Xenopus tropicalis: one gene and its partner. The protein of the gene in region 1 purifies or fractionates together with the protein of each later gene. This does not show direct contact. Links are inferred from orthologs where the notes say so. Each region holds a gene or a part of one and is shown on either strand. Other genes may lie near its edges. The genes, in order: pidd1 and casp2.

Evidence for each region.
Region 2: the proteins of pidd1 (region 1) and casp2 purify together in Homo sapiens (affinity purification with western blotting; 5 studies listed by BioGRID and IntAct, with this or other methods). This does not show direct contact. The link is inferred for Xenopus tropicalis from reciprocal best matches to the Homo sapiens genes PIDD1 and CASP2.

Annotation. Positions count from the first base shown.
Region 1 is NC_030680.2:31,397,279-31,401,110, forward strand, and holds part of pidd1 (p53-induced death domain-containing protein 1), read left to right. Parts: intron 1-165; coding exon 166-342; intron 343-1,711; coding exon 1,712-1,859; intron 1,860-2,361; coding exon 2,362-2,497; intron 2,498-2,610; coding exon 2,611-2,761; intron 2,762-3,832. UniProt on the Homo sapiens protein: Component of the DNA damage/stress response pathway that functions downstream of p53/TP53 and can either promote cell survival or apoptosis.
Region 2 is NC_030683.2:7,306,117-7,310,519, forward strand, and holds the start of casp2 (caspase-2), read right to left. Parts: upstream 3,093-4,403; 5' UTR 2,488-3,092; intron 1-2,487. UniProt on the Homo sapiens protein: Is a regulator of the cascade of caspases responsible for apoptosis execution. Might function by either activating some proteins required for cell death or inactivating proteins necessary for cell survival.

The DNA of each region.
Region 1 (3,832 bases):
TAAATCTCTATTGAAAGTTGCTTAGAAATATATTTTCTTTCACTATACAGAAAATATTTTATGGGTGTGGACCTTAAACATACTGTGGAGATGTTTAATTTAGAGAAATGGTGTAGTTACACTGCATATCATTTCATTTTCTGTTTTTCCATTTCCTTCGCTCAGAATCTGGCCATCTGCAAAGTCCCTCACTTCTCATGGTTCTTTGTGGTGTCACGTTTAGTGAAAGATCAATGTCAAGTGCCAAAAGATGGAGAGGTCTTGTTTTCTAGTGTAGACCAGAACATTCGCATTGAATTTCCTCCTGGTGCCACTGAAGAGACTCGGACTATCAGTATGCAGGTGAGATCTCGCTAATGATACTGTCCTTCAGTCTGTTTAATATCAGGAGCAAGAATCTTTGCACACATTCATGTTGCTGAATGAAGAACGATTACCCCCCTGGTGACCACAAATCAGAAATAAATTGGAACTTTGTGGTGACTGGTTCTGGAGGTAAAACATTTAATGGAAGGAACAGGCAACTGTGACTGTAGAAAATGATTTTGACTTTCCCTATTTGGAGAGCTGTGGATATATATTAATCCAGCACATATATAATTGTTACTGCCTACCTCAGATCATGTCACATAGTGGATTCCAATTAATCCATACAGTAATACGTGCTATTACTGGTCTTCCTTTTATGGGTAGATTTTACCCATTGCAGTATCAACCATTCATTCAATGGAATGTCCTCTATTCTGTTGCCCCTTAGTGCTCAAAGCACTTGTGCCCCCTGCATGCTAAATAATCTGGTTCTCAGTGATGAGTGCAGCATCAGGATGCACAGCTAGCCCTGTAAGGACAGGGTCCCGATGTGGACTGCTCATCCTGCTGCTCCTACATTGCACCTCAGAATGACTGCAACCCCCTGACCACCCGTTATAAATCAAGTGCGGCCTGTGTTTGATTCAAAGTGCAGTCCACTAAACAGGGGGCTGAGGCCTTTGGCTGTTTTCACAAAGCCCCATGCAGTGGGCAGAGTGCAAAAAAATGAGCCCAAACCCTATAGACTTACTTACAGTGGTAGCATAGTTAAGAAGTACTGCCTTAACTAAAACTGAACTACACTATCAAAGTCTTTATTCAATCATGTGTTTCTATTGCATATATAGAGTAAAAGAAACAATTAAGTTAATTTATATTTCAGTGTCCCCTTTAGCCAAACTCTTTACATTTTTCAATAGATTTTCTCTCCTACTTTTACTATTGATGTACCTGAATAATTTTTGCCATTTGTTTTATATAATTGCTGGATTATATTTAACATACTGATTATACAATCCCTATATAATTTTTATTAGTCACTTAATAATTGATTAATATTTCACTTCTTGTATAAAGACAATAGATTTCTCTGCTATAAATACAGCCAGCAAGTTTTCACAAGTTGTCTTGCCATGTCCTGACACCATTTTTTGGGTGTCAGGTCCTGCCTCTAGATGGTGCTAGAGTGCTAGCAAAACACAATAGAAAACAACATAGGCCATGCACTACCTGGTGGCAAATTTTAGTTTCTTTTTCTGTTTTGCTCCGGGACAACCAGTTAGAGACATAACGTGACAACATGGTAAAGGATTTAGGCTGCATCTGTATGTTCCCTCAGATATATAAAAATGGACATTAATACTACATGCTTTTAATATGGTTATGTTCTTTTTCATATCAGGTATTACCAGTAAGCACTGCAGATTTTCAAAGTATCACTGGAGATTCCCAGTCTGCAACCAGCCCTCTGTTGTGTCTGTCACAGAGCTCATCTGCTAATTTTCTGTGTCCTGTCAAAATCCAACTGCCACTTCCACCTGGGGTCACAGGTCAGATATGTGAATACATGGTTGTTATTATACCATAGTTATCCCATAATAGTTATTTTTAAAAACCAAAAATAATTTTTTGCCTAATTAAAAAAAACACAATTCTAAGCAACTTTCTATTATGAATTTACTCAAACATTTTAGTGCTTTAAAAGTTGTTTGTAAATGTAATTACTGTAGAAAGCAGCATTTGCTGAACTCCTGGTTGTTACTTTTTATACAATGTTGCAAAGGTCAGTCTCCTTCAGCAACACAGGTCTGTCAGCCTGCTGCCTTGTCTTACGTTATGTCAGAGCTACCAGGACAGAGAATAGAAAAGGACAGGCAGACACTGCTTTTAATAGCAATAATACTGTATATACAAATAACTAATAAAACCATTACAAATTTGTAATGAATGTATATTGCAAAGTTTCTCAGAATTTTGTTTTCTTTTATTAGGCAAAAATGTATGAAGTTCTGCTATTAGATAATGCGATAGGTTTTCTTTACTCCTTTCCAGGCGATACTCTTGATCGCTCCAGACTCGTCCTTTTACATGGAGACCCGCAGGCCCAGAACTGGACAGATATCACAGGGCAGGTGGAATTTGAAATTACCCACATTTATGCCCGGTTCCAAGTGGATCATTTCTCCTGGTAAGTCTCCCACATAGGATATGTTCAATCAGTTCTACAAATCTGCCCAACTAGTAAACATGTTGATATTTCCTGTCTCACCCTGTTCTTATTTAATCTTTCTCTGATTTAAGGTACTGGCTATGGTACACTACCAAAACTTACATTGGGGAAATTGCCAAAAATGTCTACACTCGCCTACGCATGTCTCAGGTGAATTTTGTGGCCTTGCAAAGAAAAAGGGACCCAGAACAGGTGCTGCTGCAGTGTGTTCCTAAACAAAAGGTGTGTACCCAGGATTATGTGGCTAATACAGCACTAACACTAAGGGGTATATTTATCATGCTGTGTAAAGAGTGGAGTGAAGCAGTGATGTTGCCCAGGGCAACCAATCAGCAAATAGATTTCAACAGTTAGAAAACCAAAGCAAAGCATCTGATTGGCTGCTATGAGCAACATCACTGGTAATGTTTTACTCCACTTTTTTCTTTTTTAAAGGTAAATTTTTATTGGTTTTACAACATCACAAAACAAAAATACAAAACGGTGTATAATATATTGACATTGAGATTGAAATGGTGTTGAGTCAGGTTTAGGCCAATACAGTCAAAGGTACTATTACTAGGCGTTGTAGTTGTCACAGTGTAGGTGAGTGTGTTTAGTTCTCTCGGATCAGTCACACTTAGGGGCACATTTACTAATCCACGAATCCGAATCACGCATGGGAAAAAATCGTATTGGAAATGAAAATTTCGGAAGATCGCAAATATCACGAAAATGCTTACGAAAAAATCGTATTAGTCACGATAATATCGTATTGGCGATCCGAAAGTCACGAAATTTCCGTACCGAACAATTGTAAACAGCGGTAAAACCTTTCCGCACGAGCGTTCGTGCTTTTGTAAATGTGCCCCTTAGTGTAAAGGGGTAGGTTATGTGTCCAGATTGTCTTGATTATACCAGTTTTCCCAGATCTTGTCAAACTTGTCATAAGCACCCCTTGTTTCATAGGTTAATTTGATAAGGGGGAGAGCTTCATCCACCAGCCTTCTCCAGAATGTTTGGGAGGGGAGGGTGTCTCCCATCCAGTGCATAATTACTGTTTTTTTGGCGTAGAACATGAGCGTACGCAGTTTGACTCTGGCCACGTTAGTGCATATTATTCCATCTATGACTCCTAATAGGCAAGTTATTGGGTCTACTATCTGCGGTGTACCCAGTTCACTTGCTAGTGTTTCCATTATTTTGGACCAGAATTCGTGTATGGGGGGACAGGACCAAATCATGTGAAAGAAATTGGCCCTGGGGGATTTACATCTTGGGCAGAGGTCATCCTGTCTCCTTCCAAATCTCATC
Region 2 (4,403 bases), on another chromosome or scaffold:
CATATTTTGGCATAAAACCCAATAGTATCTCTATCTGCGTCAGGAAAAACAACCGTCGTGTAAGAAGACGATAAGCGGCAATATATATATTATTCACTTGTATAGGGGGGTACAGCCAGGCTCTATTAAACAACCAGTACAGGTATAAATTAGTCGCCGCTACCGACTCACTAATTACCCCATGTGGCTTCCCATACAGGAACCAGTCCCATTGGCCCAGTGCCTATAGAGTATGGGTCCAGAATATCAGCCCCAGTAACAGACTCACTGGCACCATTACCTGTAACACGATGGAGCGTAAGCTCTACGGGGCAGCTGTACTGTGTATTTGTACCTATTTATGCCCATAGGAAATGTACAATTCCCCTGAAGTGTAGGGTAGCTAGGGGTACATATAAGGGTATAGGTAGGTAGGTAGGGATATTGGGGTACATACACACTCTCTCAGTAGTATATAAGGGTATGGATAGGTAGGTAGGGATATTGGGGTACATACACACTCTCTCAGTAGCATATAAGAGTATGGGTAGGTAGGTAGGGATATTGGGGTACATACACACTCTCTCAGTAGTATATAAGGGTATGGGTAGGTAGGTAGGGATATCGGGGTACATACACACTCTCTCAGTAGTATATAAGGGTATGGGTAGGTAGGTAGGGATATTGGGGTACACACACACTCTCTCAGTAGTATATAAGGGTATGGGTAGGTAGGGATATTGGGGTACATACACACTCTCTCAGTAGTATATAAGGGTATGGGTAGGTAGGTAGGGATATTGGGGTACATACACACTCTCTCAGTAGTATATAAGGGTATGGGTAGGTAGGTAGGGATATTGGGGTACATACACACTCTCTCAGTAGCATATAAGGGTATGGGTAGGTAGGTAGGGATATTGGGGTACATACACACTCTCTCAGTAGTATATAAGGGTATGGGTAGGTAGGTAGGGATATTGGGGTACACACACTCTCTCAGTAGCATATAAGGGTATGGGTAGGTAGGGATATTGGGGTACATACACACTCTCTCAGTAGTATATAAGGGTATGGGTAGGTAGGGATATTGGGGTACATACACACTCTCTCAGTAGTATATAAGGGTATGGGTAGGTAGGTAGGGATATTGGGGTACATACACACTCTCATTAGTATATAAGGGTATGGGTAGGTAGGTAGGGATATTGGGGTACATACACACTCTCTCAGTAGTATATAAGGGTATGGGTAGGTAGGGATATTGGGGTACATACACACTCTCTCAGTAGTATATAAGGGTATGGGTGGGTAGGTAGGGATATTGGGGTACATACACACTCTCTCAGTAGTATATAAGGGTATGGGTAGGTAGGTAGGGATATTGGGGTACATACACACTCTCTCAGTAGCATATAAGGGTATGGGTAGGTAGGTAGGGATATTGGGGTACATACACACTCTCTCAGTAGCATATAAGGGTATGGGTAGGTAGGTAGGGATATTGGGGTACATACACACTCTCTCAGTAGTATATAAGGGTATGGGTAGGTAGGGATATTGAGGTACATACACACTCTCTCAGTAGTATATAAGGGTATGGGTAGGTAGGTAGGGATATTGGGGTACATACACACTCTCTCAGTAGCATATAAGGGTATGGGTAGGTAGGTAGGGATATTGGGGTACATACACACTCTCTCAGTAGCATATAAGGGTATGGGTAGGTAGGTAGGGATATTGGGGTACATACACACTCTCTCAGTAGCATATAAGGGTATGGGTAGGTAGGTAGGGATATTGGGGTACATACACACTCTCTCAGTAGTATATAAGGGTATGGGTAGGTAGGTAGATAGGGATATTGGGGTACATACACACTCTCTCAGTAGCATATAAGGGTATGGGTGGGTAGGTAGGGATATTGGGGTACATACACACTCTCTCAGTAGTATATAAGGGTATGGGTAGGTAGGTAGGGATATTGGGGTACATACACACTCTCTCAGTAGCATATAAGGGTATGGGTAGGTAGGTAGGGATATTGGGGTACACACACACTCTCTCAGTAGTATATAAGGGTATGGGTAGGTAGGTAGGGATATTGGGGTACATACACACTCTCTCAGTAGTATATAAGGGTATGGGTAGGTAGGTAGGGATATTGGGGTACATACACACTCTCTCAGTAGTATATAAGGGTATGGGTAGGTAGGTAGGGATATTGGGGTACATACACACTCTCTCAGTAGTATATAAGGGTATGGGTAGGTAGGTAGGTAGGGATATTGGGGTACATACACACTCTCTCAGTAGTATATAAGGGTATGGGTAGGTAGGGATATTGGGGTACATACACACTCTCTCAGTAGTATATAAGGGTATGGGTAGGTAGGTAGGGATATTGGGGTACACACTCCCCCACTAGTAGAAAGAGTAGAACGTTACTCCTGGTTACTATGGTTACAGCGCTTGGGAATCACGGCGGGTCGGTGACGTCACACTCACCTGGCGCAGGTCCCTCAGAGAGTATAGGCTCCGCCTTCTGGGGGGCTCATTGGGGAAACCAGGGAAACACAACAGGCCCGTGTGGGGGAGGGTTCGGGCCGCTACAAGAACAGAGCATGGACCCCGGTACCGTGACCCTCCCCTCACCCGTAACACCGACACCCACACGGAACCCCGACCTTCTCCCCAGCCCAATAGCTGCCAGGCGCATGCGCGCCCCCCGGCCAATCGGAACAGCGCGACGTCACCAGGATTTCCCGGGCTTTTTCCTAATTGGTAAATTCTTATATGGGTTTCGCGGGAATTCCTCACAGAGATCCGAAACAAAACATGGCTCCTCCGGTTGTTAGCAGCCTGAGCTCGGCCGGTGAAAGGCAGGAAGTAGAGCAGAGTGAGGCAGTGGGGCACGGAGCCCCTCCCCCTCCCTACAGCCCGGAGCTGAGGGAAGCCCCGCCCCCGCCATTCAGCAGTCACACAGCCTGTCACTTGTTTCCCCTCACACCTCAGGCAGCGCAGCTCCTTTCCCCCAGTGCACACTATATACTTTTTATTGGTACTTTTTAATGTATGAATTTCTCATTACTGTGTAACAAATAAATTGGTTGATTTTATCACTGGCAGTGTTTCATGAGCGCCAACTCTTTAAGGGTTAATATATTTATATTCTGACATAAGGGATTAGGTACAATAAATGTTACTAGCTGTGGGTCCATATTGGCCTGAATTAACTCACAACATAATACAGGTATAGGACCCATTATCCAGAATGCTCGGGACCAAGGGTGTTCCGGATAAGGGGTCTTTCTGTAATTTGGATCTCAATACCTTAAGTCTACTAAAAAATCAATAAAACATTCATTAAACACAATAGGATTGTTTTGCATCCAATAAGGATTAATTATATCTTAGTTGGGATCAATTACAAGGTTCTGTTTTATTTCTACATAAAAAAAGGAAATCAGTTTTAAAATTCTGAATTATTTGATTAATATGGAGTCTATGGGAGACGGGCATTCCGTAATTCGGAGCTTTCTGGATAATGGGTTTCCGGATAAGGGGTCCGATACCTGTACCGGCAACATCCAAAGATCCATCTGGCCCCATACAGGAACATTTTACAAAAAGAAGCCTACTTGGCCCAAGGATAACTCTACTAACATATAAAGGCTGCCATTTTTGGCACCACATTAGCTGCTGCCTTGGCCATTCCAGTACTGCCCATATATAGGGCCCAAATGACAGCCTCCCCAACTCATATCCAACAGGGGAATGGGCAGTTGAGAAGTTCCAGTAGGTCAGCGGCTCATAGGCCTGTTGATGCAGTCCCCTCTCGAGGATCTACACAAACCCCTATTATGGCCATACTGCCAGTTCGGTATAGAGTACTGGCTGCAGGGCCGGATTTGTAATCCTGCCGCCTCCCTCCGAGCATGCGCACGATCGGCACACACCCCCCCCCATGCGCATGTGCGAACATGCGATCGGCACCGCCCCCTCCCCAACGTGCATGCAGGGTGTAAACATTCGCATATGGAGCAGTGGGGGAGAGGTTCCCACTGCTCCATATGGATGAAAAAGCTCAAGATTGCCGCCCCCAAATTTGTGCCGCCCTATGTGACGGGTTTATTTTAAACAATGGCGGAATTGATTTAATTTCTCTCTGATGAGATTAGGGACTGATACCCAAAGGCTCCAACATGTCTGCCCCGGCCTGATTGGTAACAGTAGGCAGATAATCCAGTTACCCTGGCACCTATACGTCTCCCCACCCCTGCATAGAAACAATAGGGGCTTGCTGGGAGAATGGGCCCACAGGGACATAAAAAGAGCCCCAAAGAGATCTTGGAAGTCAGTCTTCAGAGAGAGAGAGAGAGGAAAGGATTCCTGCACTTCGGATCAACTTCTTCAGTGATTCT